Caenorhabditis elegans: one gene and its partners. The protein of the gene in region 2 purifies or fractionates together with the protein of the main gene of each other region. This does not show direct contact. Each region holds a gene or a part of one and is shown on either strand. Other genes may lie near its edges. The genes, in order: W10G11.19, srp-1, wht-3 and ndx-6.

Evidence for each region.
Region 1: the proteins of srp-1 (region 2) and W10G11.19 fractionate together in Caenorhabditis elegans (co-fractionation; one large-scale study listed by BioGRID). This does not show direct contact.
Region 3: the proteins of srp-1 (region 2) and wht-3 fractionate together in Caenorhabditis elegans (co-fractionation; one large-scale study listed by BioGRID). This does not show direct contact.
Region 4: the proteins of srp-1 (region 2) and ndx-6 fractionate together in Caenorhabditis elegans (co-fractionation; one large-scale study listed by BioGRID). This does not show direct contact.

What each region holds. Positions count from the first base shown.
Region 1 is NC_003280.10:3,547,222-3,555,507, reverse strand, and holds W10G11.19 (DUF4105 domain-containing protein), read right to left. Parts: upstream 4,857-8,286; 5' UTR 4,837-4,856; coding exon 4,746-4,836; intron 4,698-4,745; coding exon 4,574-4,697; intron 4,302-4,573; coding exon 4,018-4,301; intron 3,873-4,017; coding exon 3,785-3,872; intron 3,739-3,784; coding exon 3,598-3,738; intron 3,536-3,597; coding exon 3,320-3,535; intron 2,739-3,319; coding exon 2,372-2,738; intron 2,329-2,371; coding exon 2,113-2,328; 3' UTR 2,053-2,112; downstream 1-2,052. Other genes in the region: dnc-3 (DyNactin Complex component), read right to left, coding at 961-1,069, 1,119-1,219, 1,272-1,382, 1,428-1,550, 1,601-1,672.
Region 2 is NC_003283.11:750,364-757,582, forward strand, and holds srp-1 (Serpin domain-containing protein), read left to right. Parts: upstream 1-2,919; 5' UTR 2,920-2,994; coding exon 2,995-3,290; intron 3,291-3,500; coding exon 3,501-3,676; intron 3,677-3,885; coding exon 3,886-4,052; intron 4,053-4,102; coding exon 4,103-4,405; intron 4,406-4,461; coding exon 4,462-4,620; 3' UTR 4,621-4,761; downstream 4,762-7,219. Other genes in the region: sri-4 (Serpentine Receptor, class I), read left to right, coding at 1-42; str-262 (Seven TM Receptor), read right to left, coding at 963-1,072, 1,121-1,433, 1,482-1,635, 1,682-1,816, 1,902-1,980, 2,023-2,110, 2,234-2,416; str-20 (Seven TM Receptor), read left to right, coding at 6,106-6,324, 6,370-6,671, 6,834-6,920, 6,967-7,219.
Region 3 is NC_003281.10:4,145,926-4,155,537, forward strand, and holds wht-3 (ABC transporter ATP-binding protein/permease wht-3), read right to left. Parts: upstream 5,674-9,612; 5' UTR 5,627-5,673; coding exon 5,540-5,626; intron 5,361-5,539; coding exon 5,314-5,360; intron 5,050-5,313; coding exon 4,945-5,049; intron 4,887-4,944; coding exon 4,700-4,886; intron 4,370-4,699; coding exon 3,986-4,369; intron 3,732-3,985; coding exon 3,481-3,731; intron 2,888-3,480; coding exon 2,615-2,887; intron 2,204-2,614; coding exon 2,020-2,203; intron 1,974-2,019; coding exon 1,855-1,973; intron 1,782-1,854; coding exon 1,715-1,781; intron 1,670-1,714; coding exon 1,529-1,669; 3' UTR 1,500-1,528; downstream 1-1,499. Other genes in the region: Potassium voltage-gated channel unc-103, read left to right, coding at 368-522; har-1 (Hemiasterlin resistant protein 1), read left to right, coding at 6,132-6,234, 6,287-6,423, 6,536-6,760; glod-4 (Glyoxalase 1), read left to right, coding at 7,676-7,762, 7,809-7,979, 8,026-8,376, 8,425-8,661; C16C10.9 (uncharacterized protein), read right to left, coding at 9,463-9,543, 9,594-9,612. UniProt on the Caenorhabditis elegans protein: Required for efficient RNA interference (RNAi) of pop-1 indicating a role in the germline development.
Region 4 is NC_003280.10:5,386,906-5,393,481, forward strand, and holds ndx-6 (Putative nudix hydrolase 6), read right to left. Parts: upstream 2,977-6,576; 5' UTR 2,933-2,976; coding exon 2,899-2,932; intron 2,851-2,898; coding exon 2,640-2,850; intron 2,594-2,639; coding exon 2,270-2,593; intron 2,226-2,269; coding exon 2,012-2,225; 3' UTR 1,924-2,011; downstream 1-1,923. Other genes in the region: ccpp-6 (Cytosolic carboxypeptidase 6), read right to left, coding at 123-247, 331-412; rsp-4 (putative splicing factor, arginine/serine-rich 4), read right to left, coding at 755-946, 990-1,044, 1,522-1,659, 1,716-1,921; brap-2 (BRCA1-associated protein homolog 2), read right to left, coding at 3,532-3,609, 3,655-3,756, 3,807-4,235, 4,913-5,356, 5,419-5,517, 5,565-5,824, 5,872-6,025, 6,075-6,281; pink-1 (Serine/threonine-protein kinase pink-1, mitochondrial), read right to left, coding at 6,562-6,576. UniProt on the Caenorhabditis elegans protein: Probably mediates the hydrolysis of some nucleoside diphosphate derivatives.

The DNA of each region.
Region 1 (8,286 bases), on a different chromosome or scaffold from region 2:
AGAGGAGACGACGTAATGATGATAAGAAGATGATAGTGTTGTGAGGGATATGGGGATGGGCGGAAAACATAAATAATGATGCAAGCGCGCCCCACGGAGAATTAGTAGAATTTTGAAAAATCTAGCGGTGTAACCGCGCTCCAGAGAGAATTGGTGGAATTTTTGGCTAAGCTAGTGTTACAAGTACGCTCCACAGAGAATTTTGTAAAAATTTCGAAAAATATAACGATGCAGCCGCGCTCCACAGAGAATTGTCTATAATTTTGAAATTTCACGTGATGTTAGGGTGTCTCATTTTGGCTTGATCTACGTAGATCTACAAAAAATGCGAGAGAAGAGACGCAGGTTTCTCAACTGATTTCGCATGGTTAAGAACGTGCTGATTCCCGAATTTTTTGTAGATCAAACTGTAATGGGACAGCCTGGCACTATATGAAATTTATTGGGATGCAAGTACGCTCCACTGATAATTGATTTCAAAAAAATTTTAAAAATACTGATGCAAGCGCGCTCTACTGGTAATTAGCTGTAATTTTGGATTACAACTGCGCTACATAGAGATTTTGGGAAAATTTTGAAAATTACCTTGCTGCAAGCGCGCTCCATCGAGAATTACTAAAAATTTTGGAAAAAAGTGAGGTGTAAGTGCGCTCCACTGAGAAATATTCAAATTTTCGTAAAATCTAATAATGCAAGCGCGCTCCACGGAGAAAAGTTCAAATTTTTTGAAAAATCTAGTAATTCAAATGGAGAGAAAACTATTTTTCTTGCGAGGAAAAAAATTGGAAAAAAACAAATTTTCCAATTTCCCGAAACAACGTCATCATCTTGCCCACTTCGAAAAGTCGATAATTGCTGCCAATTCGTCTTTCTGTCTAACAAAAAACTTGTAGAATTTCAATTTTTACAGGAAAACAAAGAAAATAAAAATAAATTACAATCCAGCGAAAAAATATTTAATTATTTAGCTTTTGCGTTGATTTTCGTCTGCAGATCCAGCACTTTTTCGGTGATTTTTTGGTTGATCATTGACCGCTCGGCGACAAGTGTCTGGAATTCTCCGTAGGTTCTGAAATTTTGGAAATTTCAGATTTTTAGGCTTTAAAAACTGCAATTACTTGGTCCAGTCCTCCAGGGCCTTCTCGTATTTTTCGATTTCAGCGTCAAGCTCCGGTTGAAGTGCAGCCACTTTTGAGAAGAGCTCCTGGTCGAGGCAGGGCTGAAATTTTTTATTTTTCTTCAATTTTCTCTGAAAAATCGCAAAAAAAGACCTCAAGAGCATCTGAAAATTGTTTAATCCGTTCCGCTCGTTCATTGATCAGCTTTTCCGCGTATTTTACAGACTCTATTTTGTCAGTCAGCGATCCATATGGGCCGGATGTCTGAAAAATCGATTTTTCACAGAAAATTCAGTTTTTCCAACGTACTTCCGTGGCGATTTTGCTCAAATGCTCCAGCTTTTGAATGGGAATCGACATTAGCAGATTCGCCTTACAATCATCTCGTAATTTGGATTGAAGAGCCTCGATTTGAGAGGGAATTGATGTTTTCTGGAAAAAAAATTGGCATTTTTATTGGAAATTGCGCGAAAAAAGCTTACCGTGGTGAGATCATCGATTCCTAGAACTTCTTCAATTTCAGAAATCTTTTTTTCAAGCTCGATCATGTCCATTTTCAGATTTAAAATCAAAAGATCGAAAAAGAAAAATAATAATTGAGAAATTGTGTGCAATGGGACGTGACGGTGTCAATGCGTACTTTGCATTTTATTTGACGCGCAAGTGATTTTCAGTGTGGAAACTAGGATATCGCCTGCAATTCTACATTAAAATTGTCTGTTTTTTATTAAATCTTAGTATGAAAGCTTAAAACTGAAAATTTTCATCGAAATTTCTTGTTATTTCCTTAAAACAGCTAAAAAAAGGATTCTTTTGTCCGCAATCTACCGTGGCGGTGTACCTGCGGAACTGGCATTTAAAATGACGAGCAGGGAAAATTAATTAATTCTTAAATATAAATTTTTAATGCAATTTTAATCTGTAAAACATCAAATTAAAACAAATTAAATTATTTATTTTTACCAAATTACAACAGAGCAATTTTTTAAAATTCCTATAGCTCGTCCCTAGTCCACTCCACGGCCGTGAACCCTTTCTCTAGCTCTTCCACGTCATCATACCGCTCCAACAGATTCAAACGAGCAATTGGGAACTTGAAGTTTTCAATGAGCTCCTGGCAGTGAACTGGCTCCAAATTCCGAACCCATGAAAGAATTCCAGTGAAATTGTCGTTTTCAGCGGGTTTTGTGTGGATGCACCATCCTTTTTCCTGGAAAAAATGAATTTAATTTGAAGTTAAAAAGTGAAAGTACCTGTCGCCGAATGACAATATAGCTCGGGGAATTCACATTAAAAACGCTCATCACATACAGTCCAAACAGGTCGAAACCGGTTACAGCCGAAAAATGAGCAATTCGATCGCCGCTTTGCTGCTCGGCAGCAGATTTTTTGAATCCTTCAGAATTTTTAGAGTCCAGTGGGTCGAAAAATACGACCAGAGGCTTCTGGGTTCCGGTGGCGAAGAGGAAATCGGAGGGACTTGACAATTGATGACAGCCCGGGTGTACACCGTCCTCCAAGTAGTCGACCATTCGATTCCAGTTGAGATCCTTATGAAGTGTGAAGGCTTTTACGAAGGGGTCATAGGGCTTCATCGTGATGAAGGCAGGGTAGATGGACCTGAAAGATCGGGAAATTTGAAATTTGGAAAATTCGAAAATTTCCAGGAAAAAAAAACCAATTTTTCTCGTTAAAATTCAATTTCTTCTGAAAAAAAATACATTTTTAGCCAAAATCCCAGTTTTGGGTCTTGGCACGAACGAATTTGGCTATCGTGTGGGGGTACTGTAGTTGGAAAGTTACGTTCGCGGCAGGACCCAAAAAGTTGCGATTACGACTAAAAACTCGGACTGGCATAATATTTTTTCGATCAAATCCATGCTTTGGGTCTTGGCACGAACAAAACTTCTCAGCTACCACGTGGTGTCAGAGTGTCTCCTTTTTGATCTACGTAGATCTACAAAAAATGCGGGAGAAGAGACGCAGAGTTCTCAATTGATTTCCCATGGTTAAGAACGTGCTGACGTCACTCTTTGCTAGGGGAAAAATTCCTGGATTTTTGTAGATCAAACCGCAATGAGACAGCCTGGCACCACGTGAGCTACCATGTGGGGTACTGTAGTTGGAAATTTTCGTTCGCGGTAGGACCCGGAAAGTTACGGAAAATCAAATTTTGAACAACATTCTCCACCAATTCTTACCATTTCTTGACCTCCTCGGACACCAGCGCTGTCAAATGGAACCGCCCGTGATTTTCCCGCGCAAATTTCGCGTAATTCCTCCAAATCTGCGACTTTTTCGTGTCAATAAACAGAATTGTTACGGTTTCCCGCGCGCGATCAAATCCTGGGACCATTCCACTACGGTAGCTCGGCACCAGCTCCTCGTTGAGCAGTTTTACCTCGGGTTGCTTGGTTCTGGAAGAGAAATTTCATTTGGTGGCCGAGTTTTATCCCCCACGGCCACGTCAAAATCTTACGTCAAAATCCAGTCATAAACCTGATCCTTCTGGAATTTTCCACGGAATCTTGCCTCGAGATGATCGTCAAAATTATCTAGTTTGAACGAAAAAAGCGTCGGATTCTCATCGACTCCGTGAGCCCAACAACCAGAGTTTTCACTGGAATTTTCAGATTTTTCAGCAAATTTTCCAGAGGAAAGCTTACTTTTTACAGTCCACCACATAACCAATCTGTTTGCTACGCTTCAGAGCATCTAGGAAGTGAGAAATAGCCTCCCAGTGTTCGAAGGAATCTGGAATAAGGGGGGAAATGACGGCGTGGCCTAGAAATAAATGAGAACTCGGCCACCATCACAAAAAGCTATGTGATGGCCGCAAAAACATGGTGGCCGAGTTTTTTTTTTCCGCGGCCGCGTTCTTTTTCTTCCAGCTTCTCACCTGCCCTAGTAAACAGCACAAATCGATCGCGATTCCTGGTTTTCAGCTCATTTTCGCCAATTTTCATCCAAAAATCGAATGGAAAAGTCTCCTCCGTCTCGTCTTTTTCGAAAATTTCAAAATTTTTTAACGATTTTTTCAATTCTCCGGCGTCGAAAATCGGTAGGCTATCCAAGGCAAGATTGGTGTAAAGTTTGTCGGCGAATTTTTGGAAGAGTTCTACGAAAAATGTGTCCAACGGGAAGGTGACCGGCTCCTCGATGACGGCAGATTTCCAGCTTTCGCTATAAAAATTGGACGTGGCCGTGAAAAAACTCGGCCATCAATTGTCAAAAGGTTGTGATAATCGAGTATGTTTAAAACTTGCAAAAAGATTTTGAAAGTCGGTTTCAATAACTATATTTAATGACAAAAGTCGGACTTAGAAAAAACTTGGCCACCAATTTATTTTCTCGTCCACGTAGAAAGAAAAGAGAAAAAATCGGTGGCCGAGTTGTTTTCCATTTTTTATTAAAATTTTAACGGTGGCCGAATTTTCTCTTCCACGGCCACCTACCTTGAAATCTGAACCCTATCGATTTTCTCATTATGCTGTTGAAAAACCAAATTGCTCGTCCAAAATCGATTCGAATTCGCCACAAATTTCGTGAACCATTCCACTTTTTCCACGATTTTTTCGTCTGAAATTTTGAATTTTTCAGAGAAAAAAATTATTTTCAAATCCAAACTTTTTTCCCAAAAATGATATGTCACAGTGACATGTTCTGCTGATATTAAAGAGCACAGAAAACTTGAGAATATTAGTGCAAAAAGGCGCATATTGATTGAATGATTAGTGTGAGTCTTATCAATTATCAGTTGGTGGTCAGTGCTCCGTTGTGGAGACACAGAGCGGTAGCTCGACAAGCAATTTCTGGAAAAATTTATTATTTTTTGAGTTTCCTGTGCCTATAGACAGACTCTACTGTGATTTTTGGGTCCCGCCGCGAAATTTGGTTACTGTAGCTTTGACTTCAGCTGTGTAAGATTAACTTGAAGCCTTGAAAACTCTCAAAATTGTATTTATAAAATTTTTTTAATCAGATTTTATTTTTTCAGTTTCTCCATGCTCTCCGCTTTTGCATGGCTTCCATTTTGCCTGCAAAAAGTGTAGGGTCCCGCCACGAAAACTGGTTACTGTAGCACTAACGTCAGCTGTGTAGGAGTTATTTGAAGCCATGAAAAATCTCAAAATTTGAATTTCTGAAAAATTTTCAGCAGATTTCCCGCTTCTCCGTGCTCTCAGCTTTCAAATAACCCCATTTCGCCTGTAAATATTTAGGGTCTCACCACGAAATTAGGTTACTGTAGCACTAACTCCAGCTGTATGAGAGGCATTGGAAGCCATGAAAACTCTCAAAATTTGAATTTCTGAAATTTTTCAAGCAAATTTTCAATTTGTCCGTGCTCTCCGCTTTTAAATAGACTCAATTTTGACTAGATTCCGAAAATTTCAGGGTCCCGCCACGACATCGGGTTACTGTAGCACTAACTCCACTTGTGTGAGAGGCATTGGAAGCCATGAAAACTCTCAAAATTTGAATTTCTGAAACTTTTCAATTAGATTTTCAGTTTATACGTATTCTCCGCTTTCAAATGAACACTATTTTGCCTCCAAAAATTTTTTGGTCCCGCCACAAAATCGGGTTACTGTAGCATTTGTTTCGACTGTGTAGCAGATTTTTAGCACGCTGAAAACTTGTGAAATGTGAATCTCTGACTTTTTTCAAGCTGATTTTAAGTTTATCCATGTTCTCAGCATTTGAATGACCCCCATTTTGCATGCAACAATGTTGGGGTCTCGCAACGAAAACTGGTTACTGTAGCTTTGATTTCACGATTTTGTAGTTTTTTTTTCGCTAAAAAGCACTCTGCCTTGTATTAGGCCGTTCAATAAGTTTTGTCGTTTTTTTCCAGTTTTGATTTTTTCTTGGATATTTTTTTGCGGTTGTATAGAAGACTGTTATTAATGACAAGCCCAACGATATCAGCCATTTCGGTCAACTTCCAGGTTGTTTAAAACTCCGAACTATGACAACGAAACAAAATTTTTTTTTTCGATTTTTTTTATTTCCTCATGAAATCAAAAACTTTGTATGCGTAGATGTATTAGACAGTTAGTTAAATAAAACTGAAAATTTTCAGACTCAGGCATAGCTTATTGGTAGCGCTACATCTGTTGGAAGTGCCGAAAACGCTTGCAAAATTGTCTTTTTTATTTTTGAGCGGTGCTAACTTTGAAATGATGAGAGATATACAAAAGTAATGTATTACAACATTAATGTACATATTATAAGCTACAATTTATCAGTTTGGTGCAACGTTGGATCTCCTCACGTTTCTGAGTTACAGTCGATAGAAGTGCGCTTGGTCCAATTTTCAAAAAATCCTAATTTTTCATGTTTTTGCCAGTAACTCCAAAACCAGGTGTCTGATCAAAAATCTTTAAATCAAAAAATAAGTGCTTTTTCATTATTAACAGGTATTCAGTTGACCGTTTTGTTATATCTCATGTGTGCGCAAAGATATGAATCGTAAAACAAAAGTTGCGGAAATTTCTGAAAAATTTAAAAAAACATCGGGAAAAAATTTCCGAAAAATTTTTTTGAAAGATAACTCCTAATGGTTTTTTGATTATGATAAACTAATTGATAGTCAAAATATTAAATGTGTTTCTAGACGCCCATGTTGTTTTCGAGAAGAATAAAATGGCTTTTTGCAATATTTTTCATATTTTTCTGATCATGCATTTTTTGCTGTTTTACGATTCATATCTTTGCGCACATATGAGATATAACAAAACGGTCAACTGAATACCTGTTAATAATAAAAAAGCACTTATTTTTTGATTTAAAGATTTTTGATCAGACACCTGGTTTTGGAGTTACTGGCAAAAACATGAAAAATTAGGATTTTTTGAAAATTGGACCAAGCGCACTTCTATCGACTGTAACTCAGAAACGTGAGGAGATCCAACGTTGCACCAAACTGATAAATTGTAGCTTATAATATGTACATTAATGTTGTAATACATTACTTTTGTATATCTCTCATGGTTTCAAAGTTAGCACCGCTCAAAAATAAAAAAGACAATTTTGCAAGCGTTTTAGGCACTTCCAACAGATGTAGCGCTACCAATAAGCTATGCCTGAGTCTGAAAATTTTCAGTTTTATTTAACTAACTGTCTAATACATCTACGCATACAAAGTTTTTGATTTCATGAGGAAATAAAAAAAATCGAAAAAAAAAATTTTGTTTCGTTGTCATAGTTCGGAGTTTTAAACAACCTGGAAGTTGACCGAAATGGCTGATATCGTTGGGCTTGTCATTACTAACAGTCCTCTATACAACCGCAAAAAAATATCCAAGAAAAAATCAAAACTGGAAAAAAACGACAAAACTTATTGAACGACCTAATAGTTTGTGCTCGCCGCTGACTAAAATTGATAAGATAATTTTAGTTCTTATCTGTCTGTCTCCCGCTCGTACTGTTCCTCCAGTTGTTATTAGTCTTCTATGATTCTGCTAGATAATAATAAATGTTTTGTCTGAAATTGTCTGAAAATTCCATGCGATCACATTTCGAAGAGGCGGCGGCGACGGTTCGAAAAAATTCAAAAAGTCTGAGAAATCGACGAGCCGATCAGGGGTTTCTCCTAGCGCAGACGTCATTTCAGTTGTGAGTTTTTGAAAAAAAAGATTGAACAGATGAAAACGCGCTCTATTGCGAATTATCGGTGAATCTCATTAGAGCGCGCTTTCTAGAAGGTTTTAAGATGAACATTTCGAAAAAAAACGTTCCAATTTCCTTTTTTAGGTCAAACTTCTGGCCTAGAATTCCCTCTAGTCCCTCCAACACTTGTCGTTGTCCTTAATAATTCTTCAGTGCCTTTGGTCGATATATCCGTCTCCGCAAGCTGTGCTGCTGCACCCCTCTGTGCCGCTACTTTCCTGTCTGCGTCTCGACCCCTGCCCGCTCTATTTCCCTCATTTTCTCTCCGCACGTTCTATGTTTGATTCTATCTTTGGGGCGAGGAGGGAAGAAGATGCGTCGTCTTTTTCGTCCTCTTTTAGGAGCCCTTCTGTGTTTGGAACTGACGCAGAAGCTGAAGAGATGGAGGACGACGTCCCCATTTAATCCTTCACTCATTTTATCGCCTTTTCCCCACAAAAACCCGCGCTTTTCGGACATTTTTTTGGAATTTTTCGGGTTTTTTTTTGAGGCATGT
Region 2 (7,219 bases):
GTGATGAGGCCGATGGCTAGCGTAGTCAATACATTTTTCTGAAAGCTTTTGTTTATTTTTAGTTATTTTTGACTGTTGTTAAAAAATAAATAGTCTGTTCCGTTTTTATGTTTTTTTTAATTTTCAGAAAAAATGTTGGCGGGAAATTTAATTTTTCTCACAAACGAATTTGGCGAGAATTTCCAATTTTTTTTCTTAAAACATTTTTGCTGAAAATTCAGATTGTCTGAAAAATATTTTTTCAACTCAAATTTTCTGAGAAAAAAATATCTGGAAATTCAATTTTTAATTTTTTTCAAATTTTGGAGGGAATTTCATTTTTTTCTGAAAACTTTTTTACATAAAATGCACTTTTTTATAAATTTTGCCGGAAAACTCAAATTTTCTAAGAAAAATGATCTCGGGAAATTATAATTTTTTTTTCCTCAATTTTTGAGTAAGTTTCGAATTCTCTGATAAAAATTTTTTGGCGGGAAATTCAAATTTTAAAAAATGTTTTGGTGGGAAACTCAATTTTTTAAGAAATTCTGGCGGGAAATTCAAACGTTCTCTGAAAATATTTTCGCTCTTCTCTGAGAATTTCGCAAAAAAAAGGGAATTTCCAATTTTTCTAAAAACATTTTTACAGAAAAAACACATTTTCTCAGCAAAAAAAATTAGCGGAAAACTCAAATTTTCTGAGAAACTGATCTCAGTAAATCAAAATTTTAATTTTTTTTTTCTCAAATTGTAAGGAATTTTCAAATTTTCCAAAATACATTTTGCCGGGAACTTCAAGTTTTTTAAAAAAATCTGACGAGAAATCAAATGTTCTCTGAAAATATTTTCGCTCTTATTTGAGAATATAAATTTAGTGAACAAGAAATTTAAAATACAAATGAAAATCACGAAATTCATGGAAAGGAATGAAATTTTTTTAAAATCAAAGCAAAAATAATTGTGTACTTAAATGAAAATTTTTGTCAACTTGTGGTCGTGAAAATCGAGGAGACGGGTATGACCTGAACAGTATGCGACACAGGAATCACCGTTGGCTTTTTCAAAAGTGTATTTTTTATTGAAATAAAATAATCTGAAAACATTTAACATTTTCAAATGATTTTTCTCATTACGGACAAACCTTTCACGGCTTTTCGGTAGCTTTGAACTATATAAATGGTTGGAAGCGGATTCATTGCAGGGTACATCGCGATCGTTAAGCTCAAAGTTTCTCCGACGATTACCGAAGATTTCTCGAAGAAAATGGTGATATAAATTGCAGAAGCCGGAATATGCATTAAAACTACTGGGATTATGGTTTGAATGCATAGAGCTTGGAAAAGCTGCTTTTGAATATTTTGAAACTGTTCCGAGTTGCTTGTAATTGCGAGTAGATTGTTCATACTTATATATCCCTTAATTCCGAAGAATATCATGATCGAGCTAGAGAGACCCTAAAATGTTTGACAATTTTTTACAGTTTTTTTTACAAATAAACTCACAATTGACCCCATAACTATCAATGAGCCTTCCGCACCTTTCCAACTAAAATACGTTTCCGTTATTGAATTTTCAAGTTTCGGCCAGAAAAACGGGCCCATGTAATAGAGGTCTTCAAGATTTGTTTGATTTTTAATTACTTTTAGATAATTTTCTCTGAAAGTCATGATAATAAGCACCAGAATTTCTGAAATGTTCAGACCTCATGAACCGATCCGTTTCCGCATCAGCCGACAGAATAATACCACCGGTAATCATATAGAGGACGCCGTTGATAAGAGGGACTGTGAAAATGGGAATAATTAGCCATGAGTCAAAGATTTTAAGGTAGCGACTGCTGAAAACAATTTGAAATTGAAAATTTCTTTAACATATTTGAAAATTTGGGAGTTTTTTTTTTTTATTTGAAAAATATTACTAACTTTGTGACGCTGAAAAATCGATAAATGAAATGAAGAGCTAGAATTGACATGGACGTTCCAAAAAAGCCGACGAAAAGCACTGAAAAACTATTAAGATTTTCAGAAAACTGGGGGTACCTACGATCCATTAAACATGACATGGTTGCTGGGAAAATAGACTCCTTCCAATTAACGATCAAAAAGAATGCAGACTTTTTGGTGAAGAGATCCTGTGGAAATAATTTTATCTAAGTTAGAGAAATATGGGAGCAACCGACATTCCACGGGTTGGTTTTTTAAACTTAAATCTTGAAACCCGTGAGTTGTCGGCTGCGGCAGATCCCACAACTTACAGGTTTTTCTGCAAAGTATAGAATTGCGTAGGAGAACTCGAAAAGGTTAATATAAAGCATCAAAAACTTATATGAGCCCAATGATTTTGGGGATTTTTTCAGAATTAAAACAATCAAAAGGAAATTAATAAGAACTGCGCAGACCGCTGACAAGTTTAGGATTAAGGTGCTGTTAAGATGCATATTTTGAAACAAAACTTCCTTCAACCGATGTTTGGGAGAGTAAATCGTATCATGTGGCAACTCTTGTGATTAGAAACACCAAGTAGTACCATTTTAATTTCCGTGTATGCCTATGAATGCTGTCTAGTGCGTAGGCATAAAATAACAGAAAAAACGTAATAAAGAATGAGAAAAAAAAACCTTAATTTCTGTCCATTTTTGGGAAAACTTCCAAATTTGTATTCCCGAAAAAAAAAAATATTTTCCGTCTAAATTTTTTTGAAGAAATAGGTTTTTTTTTAATTAATAAGGGAAAAGCTTGGAAAATTGACAATTGGAATTTAAGTAGTTGAAATTTTTAAAAGTAGATTTATGTTCAATGTGAAGTAGGTGTCATCGCACAATGAATTGAATTTTTGAATTGAATTCTTTTCATTGAATTCCTTGCGAAATTTCACGCCGACACAACAACAAACAACAAACAAACTCGATTCCTCCCCTCCGAAACCAAACTCCTGTGTAACATACCAGCTGTTCACTTTACCTTGAACTTTATTTTTCTCTCCGAAGCATCTACCACATCAATTGATCGTGTAATTATGAGCTTTTCGCTCATAAATTCTACATTTACCGAGGCTCAATTTGGTATTAAACTGCTATCAGATCTAACTTCCGACCAGCTCACACCATGCGTCTTCTCCCCGGTGTCTATTCTATTATCGTTGGCTCTGGTGCATCTTGGAGCTAAGGGACATACCAGACATGACATCCGAAACTCTGTGGTGAATGGGAGCACCGATGAGCAGTTTATCGAGCATTTCAGTTTTATTAATAAACTTTTGAATAGTTCTGTGAACGATGTGGAGACTTTGATTGCCAACAGACTATTTGTTTCGTGAGTTTTTTTTCTGTAGTGGAAATATTTGTTGTAGTACGTTTAAGATTTAAAAAAGTATTTGAGCATATTCCTGGTCTATCAATCATTTCGGGTTTTCGAAAAAAAAAATCAAAACTTAAAAATAGAGTTTTCTGACGGAAAAATTAACTTTTTCTCAAATCTTTTTTGGTAGTTGTGTTGCAAATTTTCAGATTATCCAATTTTTAGGCCAGAACAAGCAATTCGAAAAGCTTTTACCGATGAGCTCCGCGAGCATTACAACGCTGAAACGGCAACAATCGACTTCAAAAAGTCTCAGGAAGCCGCAAAAATAATGAACCAGTTTATATCGGAGAGTACCAAAGGAAAGATACCTGATATGATTAAGCCGGACAATTTGAAAGGTGAGATTTGAGTGTAGGAACTTGAATGCCTGCTGGGGCATCCAGGTGCCTAGGCTTAGGCTCAAGCTCAGGTTCAGGTTCAGGATCAGGCTCAGGCTCAGGCTCAGGCTCAGGCTCAAAAAAATTTTTTTTGAACTATCAGATAATCGAAAAATCTAAAAACGATAATTTTAGATTTTTTTTTCCGAAACAACTTTTAACAGTTTTAGACGTCGACGCAATTCTCATCAATGCAATTTTCTTCCAAGGCGATTGGCGTCGAAAATTCGGGGAACCCGCGGAATCCAACTTCTCTATTTCTGCTACTGAAAATCGCCTTGTCCCAATGCTCCGCGAGACCAGAGACTACTTTTATAACAAGGATGATGAGTGGCAGGTTTTAGCTGAAAAATGTTCAGCAAAAAACTGAAAACTATCTAATTTCAGGTTATTGGTATCCCATTCAAAGACAAATCCGCATGGTTTGCCATTTTCCTCCCAACGCGAAGATTCGCCTTGGCTGAAAATCTGAAATCCCTGAACGCTGCGAAATTCCATAATCTTATCAACAATGTCTATCAAGAGTACATCTTTTTGACTTTCCCCAAATTTAAGATGGACTATAAGATAAATCTGAAAACCGCCCTCGCCAAGTTCGGGCTCGCGGAGCTGTTCACAGAACAGGCTGATCTTTCTGGAATCGGGCCGGGGCTTCAGCTGGCGTCGGCTACACATCAGGCACTGATTGAGGTGATTTTTTTTAGAAACTTTTATCTTGACAGTGGTATTTAAATCTTCATTTCCAGGTAGATCAAGTCGGAACCCGAGCCGCTGCTGCCACCGAAGCCAAGATCTTCTTCACCTCCGCCAGCAGCGATGAACCTCTTCACATTCGTGTCGATCACCCCTTCCTTTTTGCAATTATCAAAGACAATTCTCCATTGTTCTTGGGAACATACACTTAACTTTTTTATATTCGATGAGAAAATGTGTAATTTGAAATTTTGTAAATTAAAGATTTCCCATAACTTAAATTTCGTAGATAGTTTGATACTTGCAAAGAAGCTGCCGACATTTTCAGGGCTTTGCAACTCATCAATAAACACTTAAGCCTTCGCAGGACGTCGAGAGGTGTTAAACAGGGTTGTGCGGCAACCGGCTAAATTTGTCAAGTTTTCATAATTTGTAGCTCCAGCAATTATTTGCAAAACTTTTAATTTCTACTCATAGGATTTTTGAACCAAAATCTAATTACAATGGTTTTTGCGCATTTTTTGTCACTTTTTGAAAAAAACTACAGCACAATCCTATATTCGAATCCCCGCAATTGTTAAATATTCATAATAGAAATATAAGTAGACTACAAAATTTGAAAAAATTTTTTAATTGACAAATTCTAAGAAAAACCGCAAAAACTGATTGATTATCTTTTTTTGAAGCGATATTTTATAAAATAAAAACTTTGTTTATAAGTTTTACTATGGTGTTCAGGCGCTACTCTCCGCCTTGATTTATTAAATTCTCGAGTCGTTTTCAGACAGAATACCTGTAGAACATCGATCTTCAAAACAATTCACTAATTCGTCAGATTCGCACAGGCAATATGTCTGCAAAAATTGAATAACAAGTCTAACATCATAACGTACGTGAATAATTATTGTTATTTGCAGAAGGAAGGTAACAAAACACAACCACATCTCTTTCTCACATAGACTTTGATTTTCTTGTTGACTGTTTTTTGACCAGTGTTCTGAAATACTTGAGCCTGATTATTATTAAAAACAGAATTTGGAAAAAGCTCAGCTGAAATAGTTAATGTTAATAAATTGACAAGCCAAATTTAATTACCAATATGCTGAAATTGTACCTAAACTTATTTTCAGCTTTCAAAAATGTGCTGCCAACAACAAAAAGCCACTTGATCACAAAAAAATATTTCCATAAGTATCGATCACCCTGCAGAAAATCTGTCTTCCAGACAATTCCCATACCATGACTCACTAGACTGAAAAAATTGATTAACAATTCTAGAGAATCTATAATTATTTGCATCCTTGGCCCCAAATAACTAAAATATTTAGGTTGTAAAATTTATTCATGTTGGAAGTTACACAAATATTCAACCGAAAGCAAAGTTTACAGGCAGGTTTTTTTAAGTGTATAGACTGTATTGATTTTTTGTAAATTTGTTCCATTATACCAACTGATGTTGAATGAATCTTTTTGACAACAATAAAGCTAAAACTTTCATTTTTTTTTTCATTAAAAATTCAAGTCCTGCGTTTTCAAGTGGCTTAAATAACTCAACATGATTCTCGGTCGCCCGGTTTCCAGCTGTCCCGCGTGATAATCCCATTTGGCGTTCCTTGCAAAGCTCCGCCCTTATCTCGGCGGATTTAAAAGTAGCAAATAATTTATTTCTTAATTTTTCTTATTGGCCAGAAAGTGTTATGAATATTTCCAACCAAACTTTTCCTTACGAAAATTACATAGTTGTCTCTAAACGTATTTCTCATCTCGGCTTCTGCTCCACTTCATTTTTCTGCACTATTCTTATTATAATAATTGTGAAATTTAGTAATAAAAATGTTGGAAGTTACAAATATCTAATGATTATTTTTTCTGTTCTGGGAACATTGTTTTCAATAGTTGAAGGGATACTTTGTCCGGTAATTTAAAAAATAGTAGATCACAACTATTAACAAAACATTTAGAATGAGCATTCGTACACTGCGAGTTGGCTATTGTTCATTACAGAACGACCGTTTGGGCTCAGCCCAGACTCACTAACACTATTCCTCGTACTTTACGCAGTATTATACGCAGCAACAATTTGCATGCTATCAGTACAGTTTGTGTATAGATACTGTGCAATATTCCATCAATTTGGGTTAAAGTATTTCGAAGGATGGAGAATGTTGTCAATAGCTGTATATTGTTCCGGTTGTGGGATATTATGGGGAGGATCGATGTACCTTTTTTCTCAAGTTGATGATTACGCTAAGGCTTATCTCAGGTACATTACTAATAAGCTAAATCGGGTGTTAGAGAGAGCGACATTTGTTGAAGTTCTTGAAAATGTCCGAAATTTTAAAGAGGTGATACTTTTTAAATAAAATTGACCAATTGTGTAATATTTATTGGTTAATAATATTGGTAATTTTTCCATATTATTCAGAGGCGAAATGAGTATAAAATATGGAATCAACATTGACAATCTGGTTGCATTCACATTAGTTGCCTACGACAAGGATGGTCATTTTAGGTAGGAAATGTCTTTTGGGAGTTTAAAACATACAAAAAAGCTTTAGTTTCAGATGGTGGAATTCTATTGCAAATTTCATCTTATGCATTATCATGTTTGCTCAGTATGCAATTATGATGTTTTGTGCAGTAGTTATGTATCGGAAAATGGAGGAGAACATGAAAATGATGTCTGAATCACTACGCAGAGTCCACCGGCAGTTCTTCCGGACGCTTGTCATTCAAATCATCGCTCCATCCATATTCCTATTTTCCCCGCTAACTTTTATACTATACCATCCGTTTTTGAATTATGCAATC
Region 3 (9,612 bases), on a different chromosome or scaffold from region 2:
CTCTACGTATCTAATTATCATCGTAATCTTCTGATTTTCCCTTCTTCGTCTCACAACTCCTCTTTCTAGTAAACTTTCTTCTTTTTTAAATATTTTTTTTTGGTGAAACAAGTGGAATGTGTGTGTTTGATGTAATGCGATAACAATCGATACTTGCACGATTGGATGAATATTTTCGAATATTCATTTCAGGAATGAATGGGTTTTTCGTTTTTTTCTTTATTTTTTGGATTTTTAATTATTTTCTTTCTGAACTTTCAAGTGATAAACAACGTGGCTGCGTGTAGATCACAGAAAATTTTATCAGAAGCTTCTGATTCCCAGATCGAGAGCTCTTTTCTCTATCAATTATTTTCAAATATTCCAGAGCCCAATGCCCGTTACCGTCCGAACAACTACATATCGTCAGCGATACGTCTTCCGAATGGAGGTGGTGGTGGAGTTGTCGATGAGATGAGAGTCTCGAGGCTCTCATCACACGAGCCACCAACACCCACACAAGAAACTGATACTATTCTATAACCCGGTTTCTCTCTTTCTCTGTCTCTCTCTCCATCTTTCTTTCTCTCTCACATCCAACCCAATTCAGTCCTTCTTTCCTTTTTCTCAGGGATCTTTTTCCGAGTGCCTCTTCACAAAAACATTTTTATATGATTACAAATTGTCCAGAGTTTTATTCGTAGGATCAAAAAACGTTTTGAATGGAAAATAGTCGAATTGTGCGAACACCGGCGTACGCATCGAGGAGAGGTTAGAATTTAGTTTTACACGAGCTGCGTAAATCGACACAAGGCCGCTTCGATGCACCATGTTCCACTCTCAACTATTTTCCATCTCAAAACGTTCATTTTCTCTCAACTCCCGGTTTGCAAAGCTGTGTGATTTGTTTTTTTTTTTCATTTTCCACCAAAAATCAATAACCACACTTTTATACCCCCTCCTAATATTCTCATATCTAATACCCCCGGATAGCCACTAGTGATCTCTTTCCATCTCCCACAAAACTAAAGGAAACGTTTTCTTTCAAATGCCAAAAAGTATTTCAAATCTTTTTTTTTTTTGCAATTTCAACTTCAAAAACAAAACAAAATTCGTGTTTTCATCATGTCTTTCTCGCGGGTTCATATGTCGCAACACTTTTTTCAATGTTCTCCATCAGTTTTCCCCTAATATAATGTTTTTTTTTGCAATTTTTCTTTTAAAATCTGATCGTCTAGATGCCTTTTCTTTGTATGTTTTTCTTTTGAAATTTTCTCTCTTCGTATCCCAAAATCACATCACATCCCCTTTTTGACATTCTTTCTATGCACCCACACTAAACAAAAAAATTTCGATAAAAATTTTAAAATTTGATTTTTTGTGTTCAATTTTCAATTTCAAATACAGTACTGATTTTGGTATCGGATTCAGGATAAAAGAGCAAAAAGTGACTTTATCTGCAGCCGACACCTCAGGGGGGGGGGGGTTTCAAACAAATATATATTAAGAGCTACAAAAATGTTCAGCAAACAAGTTCATAATAATAAAATCATCGAGATAATCGAATTCGAATGAAAAGTGCAATATATCCAGCCAAATAGAAAAAGATCACAATTGAGCAGAGTCCAATAACATCCAATTGATAGTTGTCTTTGTTGAATGAGAACTGTTTCAGAATCAATTCTCGATACTGAAAAAGGATTAAAGTGGCATGTGTCACAAAAATAGAACTTACGAAAGGATCCCATTTCGGATTGTCCACTTGAGACCACTGATTCACGACGAGTCCTTCGAATCCATATCTGAAAATTCATTTGTCGTGAGTACGAAGCCGTTCAAAAGCGCATACGCCTAGAAACGGGCAAAATTTCTAACCTACACCAACTAGTCCATTGCATCCACCGAATGTAAACTGGAAAGTTATTCGTATTTCCATATAATCCACTCAACAGTGCAAAAAGGCCTGATGCTGGAACGGCAAAAGCAATTGCCAGCTGAAAAAAAACATGTGTTTTGAAAAATCTGATGTTAAAAATTTACCGAAGTAGTCTCGAATAGACAAGCCAAGAAGAGGCCACACGAAGTGGCAGACTGCTCGACGAGCACAGAAATTAGAATACTTTTAGCCACTTGTTGCCAAGTACTATTCAATCCAATCATCCAATATGATATTACAATCATTAGAGCTCCGTCGATTGTAAATAATGGGAGATATGACAGAAATCTGAAAGTTGAATCAGATTTATCAACTGTGAGATGCTCTTCTTGACAACGCAAAAAACCATTATTTGGGCAGAGCCTAATATTGATTTTTTTAATACTTCGTCTTTAGTTTCGTACAGTCACAAAATGCCTACTATAAGCTCTACCTACTACCAACGTGAATCTTGCTCTATTTTTTTTAACTGAAAAATTGATCCAAACACGGGAATTTGCGTCAAATTGCAGAAATGGGCGGTAGGCAGAAAATAGGCACATAGGCATGCAGTGCTAACCATGGAAGCATTGTTTTTCATATGCTCGGATGTTTTACTACCTATCAGTGCACTCAAAATATTTAGTTTTCAAATAAACGTATAGAAAAACTTCCCATATCGTGTCATGTTTCCGTACTTTTCCACTTTTCTAAACTAACCTCGAAATATAATAACTAATTACATAAAACAATCCATCATGATATTCTCTCGCAATTAATGGAAGTTCATGTTCCATAAATGTCATAATTCCAAACATCGTGGAGAAAGTGAGCTCCGCAATTAGAAAATAAAGAGCACTATTTGTGTTCCGTACTCCTCGAGGATCAAGTGGTTGTTGCCAATAAAGAGATCCGATGAATAAGCCCATCACCACTTTTTGAATTAGTTTCATTCGCATTTGAGCTGGAGAACGGATCACATCGAGGCAAGCTCTGAAAAATAATGTTAGAAGCAAATCAAATTTTTATTGCACCATTGGTTTGCAAAGAAAAGCGTGCATCATCATTTACTATATATAAAGCGCTTATTCTGTGTGTCCATAGTTTGTAGTCTATGTAGTCTTTGTAGTCTGTGAAGTTTTGACTTCTGGAGGGATAGTGAGTTGGGGTTAGTGTAGGGATATAGTCGGGGTACTGTAGTGGTACAATAGTGGTACGGTAGGAATACTGTAGGGTTACGGTAGTTTCATAAAAATTAATTTTCAGCTCTAGAAGTCGGGGGCCGCGCCGAAGGTGCGGACCACAGCTGGTTTTTTATAAAGTGCAATCGTGGTAGGATTTCCAAACAAAATTTTGGCAACTTATAGTATCTCGGGTCATTTTATAGATATCAGAAAATGTTGAACTACAAAACTATAGAAAAATACATGATAAATATTTTGTCAATTGGCAAAATTTCGAAAAATCAAAAACAACTGAGCTATGGGATGTCAAAGTTCAGCAACAGTTTGTGGTTCAAACATGGTGCATTTCGTAGTTTACCATAAAGAAGCGTGCTTTAACTATTATTTTTCCAGATAACCAACCTCTTTAACAATGCTCCAGTTTCGGCAAAAAATCCTGGATTCTCTATATATGGAGGTAGCTCTGTAGTCGCAATCACACGTATTTCCACTATAGATTTCTGATGAATTATCGATTTTTCATAAAATTCAATAATTTTTCCAATTGTTTCTCGACTCTTTGTCTCGTTGTTTGGTATCACTGACAATTTGGATTGTATCCATTCAGGTGGATTGAATAATTTCGGAATTGGATGGCCACAGTCAGCGAAAAACTGGAAAAAAGGTTTATTCGAAAATTTGTAAATTCAAATTATAGTTGGGTATCCGAACAATTCGATTTTCGATTCAAAATTATAGGCAGATGAGGGTCTCCACACGACTGAAACATTTCGGTATGCGCCTTTGAAGAGTACTGTACTTTTTCGCAGATTCCACATTCACTAATATTTTTCTGAATCCTCAGTTTCGGTCGTGCCAAGACCTTTTGGCGTGCGCCTTTAAATAATTTCTTAAATTTCAAAATTACCTTCACGGACTCATGAGGTGTTCCCATAAAAGCGGTTTTTCCCATCGACAAGAAAATAATTTTGTCAAATTGAAAAAAGAGCTCGGCAGTAGGTTGATGGATCAGTGTTCGACCGGAATTCGCGAGATTCTTCAAAATTTGTACAACACTTGCAGCCATAAATGAATCAAGTCCAGACGTTGGCTCATCAGCAAAAAGTAGTGATGGATTGGATAATAGTTCACAGGCAAATGTCAAACGACGGGCTTCACCACCGGAAATTCCTTTTACGAGTCCAGGTGTTCCAATTTTCAAATCTCGACAATTTTGGAGTCTCAGCATTTCAATAATCTCATCCACTCGTTCTCTACGTGTATGTTTATTGGCTTTCATCCGAAGTCTTGCCTGAAATTTTTGGGAGTTTGCGCGTAAAGTTTGATGTATCGAGTAGGCGCTGACGCTTGATCTTCAGAAATCGGGAGTTCTGGAGATCAAACACTGTCTTCTGATTATTACAGTTTTAGGTCTTGAAACGGTCAAAGTATTCTCAAATCAAAACTCCAGAAAAGAATGCGCGCCTCTAAAAGGTTACTGTACTTTTCATTCCGTATAGTATTTTTACTTGAAACTACGGTATTCTTTAAAGGCGCACGTTATTTTAGGTGACATTAATTCAAAAAATGTTATTCGTGCCAAGACCAAATACTGTATTTTCGTGCGAAAAAAAATGCTGACCTGGATCATTAAATATTCATCAACAGTCAATGTTGGAATGAAAATCTCCTGTTGTTGTGCAAAACCAGAAATCAATGAAATCTCCTTCCCGATCTTTGTTCCATTCACTTTCACGGTTCCATTCTTCTCCAATCCCTTCATATTCCTGCACATTAGCACATTCATTAGAGTGGTTTTTCCTGCTCCGCTGAACAAAATTGCTTCATAACTATAACTTCATAACTATAACATAACTAAAGTTTTACCTTGCACCCATTAATGCCACCATTTCTCCTGGCTTTGCTATTCCCGAGACTCTATTTAACAGTTGCTTCTGCTTTTTGGAAAATAGCTTTTTCCGAGTTTTTACCCTGAAATATGAAAATATTAAATTCAAACACCCGCGTATTTCTCAGAACTACGGTGTGCAAGCGGTGTTTGCGTACCGCTGCGGAATGCATCACAGCCTACGCGCAAATCATCATCATTTTTATCATTTCTTTCTCGAATTTTCTTTGTTTTTTGATCTTTGTGTTGAAGATTTGTTTATATTTTACAAAAATTATGACTTAAAAATTAGTAAATTGCTCTGGGCGTGTTATGTGATGTTACTATTCGTCAATTTTCCAACTTACTCGATGTTTTCCCACGTGACTGTGATGGGCGTCACCACTTCCGTCAGCTGAAAAATGTATTTTACTTCGTTGCAGCAATTATGTGTATTTTATATGATTTAAACACATTTCTTCAAAGATATATTTGTTGATTTCAATTTACAAATGCATTTCAGACCGAAAAAATACTAAGAATCTCCTCTTGAGCTAAACTCCACGTTTTCAGCTTTACACAACATAATTTTACCTTTTGGCTGCTTGTATCGATTGATTCGTACCCGGCATTCCATCTTTTTCTTTCCGCTAGTAAATCGAATGGCATTTTTGTAGGCATTTGACAAATAAACTATTTGAATTGATTCAATTTTTAATTAAAAATTATAGAAATGAGTAGATTGTTGATTTTCCAATCTAAATTTTATCATCACGGATACGTAAATTTTGAAAATAGAAAAAATAGTCTTACAACGCTTTTATTACGATTTTTATTTGTTGTAAAATGCATAATACAAACTTTGAAAAGCTTGTATTTATATTTAATGATTCTAATATGATTTCGCTTGATTTAGCTCAATTTTTTGTTTCCCTGTCGTATTTCGCAATCTTATCTCTCATCACATTGAACAGACAAGTGATTTTTGAACTATTTCGTCACTACTCGGACAATATAAATGCTCTTCGAGACTAGTGGAGGCTACAGAGTTCCTGATTTCTGTCATTTTTAACTAAAAAGTTAATTTAGAATGTTTCAATTTATTCGAATATTTTATCTTCTGGCTTTTTTCGTTCACAGTTTTAATTATTTGAAATCTTCATTGAAATTCTATCAATTTCAGAAAATGGTTCGTCGGCGCACTGCTTCCCCATCTCCATCGGCCCCAGTTCGATCGGCTCCACGTCCAGCCGCCCAGTCATCCTTCGCCGCTCCACCACCAAGACCAGGTAAAATTTAAGCCATTATTTTTTTTCAAAAACTCTTAAAATAATATTTCAGCCGCCGCTGCTCCAGCTTATCATCCACCAGCAGCTCCAACTCCAATGGGAGCCCCAATGGGTGCTCCATCTCAGGGACCAGGATTGATGAAGCAAATGGCTGCAACCGCCGGAGGAGTCGCCATTGGATCCGCTGTTGTGAGTAGTTTTATTTAAATATATATATATTCCCCGGATTTCGAAGCTAACCTATTTCCAAGACCATAATTTGGGAAACACTTAATTAAAATATCGAATTCTAAAATTCCAGGGTCACGCCGTCGGAGGAATGTTCACCGGAGGCGGTAGCTCTCATGCCGAGCAAGCTCCAGCTGCTGCTGCTGCTCCAGCCGGTGCTCCACAAGCTTCTGGCTACTCGCAGCCATGCGAATTCGAGTGGAGACAATTTGTGGACTGCGCACAAAACCAATCTGATGTTTCTCTGTGCAACGGATTCAATGATATTTTCAAGCAATGCAAGGCCAGATATGCCTAATCACAGTTCCCCCGTATAGATATTGAATTAAGTGAAAACGTTTAGCATTTGGTGGAAATTGATTATTTCTCTCTGAAAACTCAAATTCTACTTTATGGTTATCGCTTTCAATTTGACTTTTTTCCTTTTTTTTGTCGTATTTAGCTCCCTGAATTCCAAATGTTCCGTAGTTTTGTTCTTTTTCAATTTTCCCCAGTTTTCTGTTCGCAAATAAATTGACTCGTTGTTTTCTTGTTTTCCTCGCAGTCTTTCGCACTGATTTTTGAGGTATTTGCCATGTTGTTTTTATATTTTCTGGTTCATTCGCGATTTTTAAAAAGCAAAAAAACACATCAATGAGCGCGCGGGTCGGCCTCCAAACACTCACTATAAATACTGCAGAAATCGCTTCATTTTATTATTCCTCCGCTCGCTTTTTCTCTTTTCTACTGCAAGATTTTTATCGATGTTTCGTTGCTATGCATTTTTAAACTCCCCGAGATTCAATTTTTAATCTTTCGAGAAAAAATAGAGTTTTCAATAATATACGATAATTTCTTATTAATTTAGAGAAATATTAATTTTTTAAAAAATTTAAATCGATATATTTTGAAAAACTATAGTTTTTTCGCCATATGGTATATTTTCCGTTAATTTAATCTATCTTTTCAGTAACTCACAATATTCTCCTCCATATTTATTTTATTGAATATTCCAAAATTTAGAACCCATATACTTTTAATATTTTTAGACAATTTTTAAAAATATAAATATACGGGTACGGTAGCTTCGAAGCTTTGGTCGTTTCGAGACCCATTATTGTATTTGTACTTGAATTTCCTACAGTAATCTTAAGTGAGCGCGGCGAGACCCATTCATTTGAGTGAACATCCCTTGAAGTTAATCGAAAAATAATTGTATTATTATTCTCCAGAAATGACAGCTCGCGCTCTTCACTACGTCTTCAAAGTGGCGAATCGTGCCAAGACCATCGACTTTTTCACAAATGTTCTGAATATGAAAGTGAGTATTCACATAATTTTTATTTAAGCTGTAAATTAACTCTCAGGTTCTTCGCCACGAGGAATTCGAAAAAGGATGCGAAGCAACTTGCAATGGACCATATAACGGACGATGGAGCAAGACAATGATTGGATATGGCTCAGAGGATGAGCATTTTGTTCTAGAGATCACATATAATTATCCAATTCATAAGTATGAGTTGGGTAATGATTATAGAGTAAGAAAGCTTGAGTCTTGATATTATTAATACAATTTTATTTCAGGCAATCGTCATCGATTCTGATCAACTCTTCGAAAAAGTCGAAAAAATCAATCATCGTAAATCTGGATGTGGAAGACTAGCTGTGAAGGATCCAGATGGCCACGAATTCAAGATCGGAAAGGCTGATCAATCGCCAAAAGTGTTGAGAGTTCAAGTGAATGTTGGAGACTTAGAGAAATCCAAGAAATATTGGAATGAAACTCTCGGAATGCCGATTGTTGAGGAAAAGTCGAGCAGAATTCGAATGAGCTATGGTGATGGACAGTGTGAGCTGGAGATTGTGAAGTCTCAGGATAAAATTGATCGAAAAACTGGATTCGGAAGAATTGCATTCAGTTATCCTGAAGATAAGGTAATTGTTGATATTTTCTATTAAAAATCTAAATATTTAATTTTCCAGCTCGAATCTCTCCAAGACAAGATCAAATCAGCCAATGGAACTATTATAAACGAGCTCACAACTCTCGAAACTCCAGGAAAAGCCGATGTTCAAGTTGTGATTCTTGCCGATCCAGATGAGCATGAAATCTGTTTTGTTGGTGATGAAGGATTCAGAGCTCTCAGCAAAATTGACGATAAAGCCGAGTCTGAGCTCAAGGAGCAAATCAAAAAGGATGACAGCGAGAAGTGGATCTAAATTTTGTCATTATATTTTTATTTCCAATGTATTTTCCTTATATAAATTCGAACATTCCTAGAAATTATTGTAGTCAATTTTTCAGAAGTTTCAGGGAAGATCTTTTCATTCACTTGACCACCAGAGAAAGCAATAAAAATAGGGATTTTTGAACAATCTGGAAATTGAAATTTTCTTTGTGTTTCAAAGCATGTTAAACCTTGCTTTTTCTGAATAAGAATGCTCTTCTTGGCTTCTACATGTTTTTTATCACAGCTGTTTTATTACGGGAATACAAAATTCAGAGAATGCGTATTGCGCAACATATAAGACGCGCAAAATATCTCGTAGCGAAAATTACAGTAATTCTTCAAATGACTACAGTTGCGCTTGTGTCGATTTTTGAAATTAATTTATTTTCGATTAGTGACAGCGATATTCCTTTTTTTTTGCTTAATTATAATATTCTATCCATAAATCAATGATTAAAAAACATAAAAATCGAGCCCGTAAACCAACCGACACAAGCGCTACAGTAGTCACTTAAAGAATTACTGTAGTTTTCGCTACGAGATATTTTGCGCGTTCGCAATACAAATTCTCAGAACTTTGTGTTGTTAATATTTATACTTACAGTCTATCGTAAAAAATCTGAAACTTTCGTCATACAAAATTTCCGATTTTTTTAGAAGCATCTTCAGAAGTACGCAGGTTTCCAAAATATACTTAAATCAAGATTAAACTCATTAAATTTCGCTCAAAATATATTTTATTCACTCAATATTCAAACATTCCAATGGAAAACAAAAAAAACAATAACATTTAAAAACGCTTCAGATAAATTCCAAAAGCATCTCGAATTGAATCAAAGAAACGTTGATCAATGTTCCGAAGGTTTCTCCTCTGAAAAATATAAAAATTAATTTCACAAAAATTCAAATTTATTTGCTCACCAATCTATCCACCACAATT
Region 4 (6,576 bases), on a different chromosome or scaffold from region 2:
GAAAACCTACAGTAACCCGTAGGGTATTGAATTTTTTTAAAAATCGCTGCGAGACCCGACGTTTCCGCCTCAGATCCAGTTTTCGAATATCAATAATAAATACAAATTCTTCAAACATTTACCTGATTTTCAGATGCATTTTTGCATTCAAAATAGAACCAAACTCTATATTTATTATTCAAAGTGTCAGGTCGAATGAATAAATCATATTCTGAACAGGAAACTTTGTCGACTCGTCCCAAATTTCCTTAAAATTTAAACTTTTTAAATATTCAAAAAATAATAATATAATTACTTCCTTGTTTGTCTATAATTGAATTTAAAACTAACCAGATTCAAAACTTGCTTCAAAAACCAAATTTCCCTGACCAGGAATTGTATCAGGATAGCTGACATTTCCAACATAGCCCATATTGAAAATGAAATTTTGTTTTTTTGAAAACCAGACCTGAGCTCCGACACCGGAAGCCGGAAGTGTGGTTGGGTGAACATTTCTAACTGCTTTGACACTTGAGCCAATTTATTCAAGAGAAAAAAGTTTGGAACAATATTGACGGACAGAATTTCGATTTATTTTAACAGTTCTCTTGGAGAAATTAGATGGAAAATTGGAAATCATATATATTACTTGTCTTGTTGGAGGCAACTGGAAAAAAAAGACGTTTGAAATTTCAGGATCAGTGAGTAAATCATAGTAAAAACGAAAACGAAAACGAAAAATAATCAGAAATCGAAGAGGAAATTTTTTCGGAATTTAGCGGGAGTTGGAACGGCTACGACTTGGCGAACGAGATGCCGAGCGGCTTCTGGAACGGCGTTCCTTTGGAGATCCATCCTCACGTGGTGGCGGTGAACGAGATCGGGAACGAGAGTTGTCACGACGATCCGGTGAATCTCTGCGATCACGAGATGGTGGTGAACGAGTACGACTACGAGAACGTCGCGGCTGAAATTATTTAAATACATTGGTGACATTAAAAGTAACTTACAGATCTTGAGCGAGAATATCTTGGAGATCTGGAGCGTCTTCTCGGTGAGCGGGATCTGAAATTTATTAAGTTTTTAAAAGAATCAAGTTTTTGATAGAGTACAAAATACATTACTCGCTGTGAATGTTCTATTCGATAGAAAGAAGTGACAACTCAAAGACAAAGAACAACGTCTATCAATACAGTTTGCCACCGAAAGTTGAATTTCAGCAACAAACTGTAGAATATGCCGATTGAAAATATTCGGGCACTTACAAAATTGTTTTCTGCCTTTTCCACACTGTCGCCGCTGGTTTCATTCAGCAGACACAGCAACATCAAAACTGCTTTTCTCTGCATTTTCAGCAATTCTGCTACTCAAGTGTCACTCAGCAAGCATTTACAGCTTCAACAGCAGCAAAAATTCAGCTCAGCTCAGCAACATCTGGCTCTGCTGCTGTTCTATAAATAAGTCAGGAAGACAAGGGTTCCATTAAGTCTCGCGCCTAATTTTTGAGCACAACTACAAGGGGAATCAACTGAGTATACTAACCTTCTACGTCCACCACCACCTCCACGGCCTCCTCTCTCATCCGATGGTCGATCATACTTTGCAAGAGTCACACGTAACTCGCGTCCATCAACCAACTTTCCGTCTGTGCGGTCCAATGCGTGCTCAGCATCACGACGTCTAAAATAATATTGATTTTCTGATGTTTTCTCTCCAATAGTTCCAATTTAACTTACTCATAAAATCTAACGAATCCGAATCCTTTCGATTGGCGAGAGTACTTGTCCCTTGGAATGTGAACATCTCCAATGTCTCCGTATCGCTCAAAAGTTCGACGCAAATCGTTGGGCGTTGTTTGGTACGACAAGTTGTCGATTTTCAGCGAAGTTAGACCATTGATATCCGGTGCGGCACGACGATCACCACCTCCTCCACGGCTCATTTCTGAAATGAAAATCATTTATGAATTGAATATAGCTAACAGAAACGCGAAAATAAGAGGAGAACATGAGAAAAGAGAGACATGTGGTAGTTAATGAGAATGAGATTCTTTTAGAAGATCAATAAAATGAGAATGAGAAGCGTAAAGTGGCTCATTTGAATTAACTGCAATCCAGCGTAAAGCTTTAGCATCATCTCCTGCTTGAAGAGCCACATTTTTCAGAAGGCCTTTTGAATCATGAAAATTGAAAACAACAGTCTCCATCCATGCGTTATCAGTGTTACGTGGGTCATCAACGTAACCTCTGTAAATGAAACATTGAGTGGGATAAAAGAGCTGTGAATGCACCTGTATAACTCTTTACCATTATTCCACAATTCATCAAGATTTTCAGAATCGACAATTCCATGCATTGCTTCTTCTGCGAATTCGCGCCGTAGAGTTTGTGAAACATGCTCTCCAGCATCCACCATTCCTCCAGGAATTGCCCACTCGCCATTGTCATGACGTTGAACTGCAACAAACTCCAAATCACCATTGTCGTTTGTTCTAGAAACGATCGGATCTGCTGCGTGGTTTGGACCCCAACGACCAAGCAAACCACGACCAGAAAGTCCCGTACGTCCAATAGGATTTAGTGGGCGAAGGGTGACAGGATCAAATGAGTACTGACTGGAAGGTTTCTTGATTGATTGAGTATATACACTCATAAACGCACCAAACATATGACACTCTATTGATTTTCCCATCGATCGCATTCCAAGACGGTTGGAACGTTTTCTCATCGATTTCTGGGTCTGCCCAAACAGCTCCATCAACTTTTGGATCGGTGTGAGCCGGAGGATTGTATCCTGACCATTCTTGGCTCCATTTGACAAGATTATCAGGCACATTTAGTCGGTGAATGTTACTACCAAGGTAAACCGTATCTAGAGGTTAAATTTGTATTTAATGTTAGATTAATACATTGTTTATACCGATATTTCTGCATTTTTGATGAACGAAACTCATTATCGGACGACACAAAAGATGATTCCAAATTGTCATAAATTGCCCAAAAATCGATAATCTTGGTTAGTGAGTGTAAAAATGCGGCAGAAAACTTTTGAATTAGAGAAATACGAAGAGTTTCGAGAAATTATGAGAGCAGTGATATTAAAAGTTGATGGAAATCTTGAAAAAAAGAGAAAATAATTTGTAAAAGATAAGTATCGAGAAAAATCGAAGGAAACAAGAATGATGGCCAGCGGAGACGTTTAAAACGAAGTGTGCGTTCTTAGTGAACACAAGAGTTGCGTCAGCACCGAAAATGTGTCAGCAAGGAAAGAGGAGGGAATTCGAAAAATAGTTTTTGACTCGTCGTTTAATAACGATTGAAAACATGGTACATAATATGAAACCAAAAGACACTCGAACGATATCATTTTATTCATAAGCGAATGCATTAAATAAACTACCGGCTGCATACATATATACCGCACAAAATTCGATGAGATACGCGAAAGAAAGCGAATAAATATTCAAGTGAGACTAACCATATATGAAAAGACTATTAAAGAAATGTTCAATATGCAAAAATTAAATAGGACATGGATCTCCTGAGATGCCAACTACTTTTTCTTCTTTCTGTTCAATTTTCTCGACGAGGAGGACGACGAATCGAGTTCAACTTGACTTTCAGTTATTTCCTGTAAATTAAACATTTTTATTGTGGCGAGCATTGGTTAACCAACCTCTTGAGTTATTTTTCCAGCATCCAACTGCTCTTTCAGCTTATTTTGAGTTTCAAAATGCATCAAAAGATCATTGACTTGTGACTGAAGATCTTCGATTTTCTGAAAAGAAAAGCTTTCAAGAGATCAAGGGAATCTATTTAGACGAATACCTTTTCATACTCGGTTCGAGCAGTTTTCTGACTTTCAATAAGCTTTTCCACTTGACCTTTCCACACTTGCTGATCTTTTCTCAACATTTGATTTATTTCACGTTCATCTTTCAACTCATTTGCAAGCTTATTCACTTTTTCATTTGTCTGCGTTGCTCGTTTCTCTGCCACTTTTCTCGCCGTCACAGTATCATCTAAATCTCCTTTTAATGATTTCAATTCAGTTGATCGTTCCGTCAGTTGATGCTCGAGATTCTCTACTTGAGCATAAGCAGTTTTCTCCATTTTTGACATCGTTTGCTCCATATCGTGACGTAGACCTTCAAAATATTTCCGTTGATCCTCAAGTTGACTGGTCAGGAGTAGAGTGTATTCGAGTTTGATTCCCTCAAGCTTGTCTCCACCCTTTTGGTTTTTGTCATCAAAGCTCTGCAATTTTCAACATTTTTAGGGAATTTGAGTGAAGACTAAACATTCTGGTCTATTTAGTCAGAATACTTGAAAACAAAATTTTAAATGAATTTATAAATTTTCTGTATAGAATGAAAAGGCCACAAAACAGTGCTGGACTTTTTTTTTGCTTTTTTTTCTGTTTTTCAAAGGTATTTTTTCACGAAAAAAAAAAAATTTTGCTTTATGATAGCAAAAATAAAGTAAAAAATCAAACACTTTGGATTTCAAACACTTTTAGAACATGATCATACTTATTATTCAACGATAAAGGGGAAAATGAATATATTACAGGATTTTAGCACTTATTCCTAGGCAGAACAAAAGTATTTGTGTGATAATTAATTTGAAACGCATTTACAGACGCATATATATATATATATATATTTGTTTTCAAACAAAAACCAATAGAATTCAATGAGAAAACCCGAAAAATTGCATCCAAAAAAATTAATTGATTCATTGCCCGAGAGGAGTACACGGCCGAGAATTTTCAAAACTAATTAGTGCGCGAAATTCAAATTAGTTATACGAAAAGGTTGATTTTCGGCACTTTGAAGCCTCAAAACATTCTTTTTTTTTGTTTCCACCAGTTTTTTAACAAAAAATTATTGTTTTTAAATCAACAATTTTTTTTTGGTCCAGTATGAACATACCGCATTCGATTCTCTCTGATACTCGACAAGTTTCCCATCAGCTCCATTTTCAATCAATCTATGCACGTAATTGTCTCCAGCATAATCCCAGACTCGTTCTCCTCCAACTTTCAAACTATAAGTATGTGAAGTGAGCTCCCAATGTCGTTGTGCATGTTGTTCTGCGTATCTTCCACAACCTATATTTCCACAAATTAGACAAATCCATAGATCGTTGCTCATTCCACAATCATTACAACGTTGCTCTGCGACAACTTCTGGAGATTGAACATATCGACAGACTGGACAAGTATTGTCTGCCCATTGTTCCAGGCAACGAGCATGAAATGAATGATTACATAGAATTGCAAGAACACTATCATCCATTCGTTCCAGACAAACTGCACAAGTTGGAAGCTCCGTAAGAGATGTATCATCGGAGGAGAAGAGATCATTCGACGTTGTCTGAAATTTATAAATTGTTTCGAAATATCTGGAATTATTGAAATAAAATAATAATAACTTACACATTCAATTCTATCCACAAAGAAAAGCGTGCAACAATACGATTCGAGATCATTAAACGGGCAATTGTTGAATTCCTCGTAGAATGTTACAGCATCATTCTGAAATAAATATTTGCCAATTAATCGTTAGTATAACTTGAACCTACATGTTCCTTGAACTTGATAATCAACATATACTGATTTGGCGCTGGATCTCGAACAACTTTAATACTAACAATCATCGGAAGTGAGATACACATGAATGATATAATCTCACGAACTTCAACTTGTGCTGGTACAGCATACATACACAACATTCGGCACTGTGCAACTTTTGTCAACTTCTCATCATTGTACTTGTAAAAATGCATAATTCCTTCGGTCTTTTCCGTGAGAGGATTTCCAGAATAATAGGCAACTTGGTCAGCTGAAATTTTTAGATTTCATTTTCCATCTCACATGTTTCAAACTCACGTGGTCCTTCTGAAACAGATCTTCCACCAGATTTTTCCGATGTTCCGGCAACCGAAGAACTCGAGTCAACAAGTTTTTCTCCATCTAAAGATTCGATGACCACTTCAGAATAGGTCCGTCGTCCTTTGTGGTAGTTGTGTGATGGCTCGGATGACTGAAAATCAGATTAAGCTTTTAGTCTCAATAAAATTTGATCTATATACCATAACTCCAATTGGCGGATCTTCTTCTCTGCCTTTCAGTTCCTTTTTTGGAGGAGTATTTCCTTTTTTGACTAGTCTCTGACGAGTCCGTTCACCTGCCAGTGGGGATTCACTTCCTGCTTTCGAGTCGTCGATAAAAGATTGCACGATTTTTGTCCGGTCTCTCACTTCGAGCCGTAAAACTAATGGCACGTAAAGACTGCTCATACACCTAAAAGTTACAGTTAGAGGATCTGAGATCTGAAATAATAGGATGTAATGAAGTAGTATAAAATGGTTAAAAACCACCAGTATTTGAACAATAAAAAGTAATAAGGTATGATATTTTCCATAAATGAGGGAATGATAAACCGTAATTAGACAAAAGAACGCAATAGACTGGCATGAAAAGTGATTGTACAATTTGAAAAATACCAACAAGTAAAAAAAAAAGGTTATTACATATGTAATCTAGAGGTTTCAAACTACAGTAATCGTTAAAACAAATCTATTTAGATCGAAC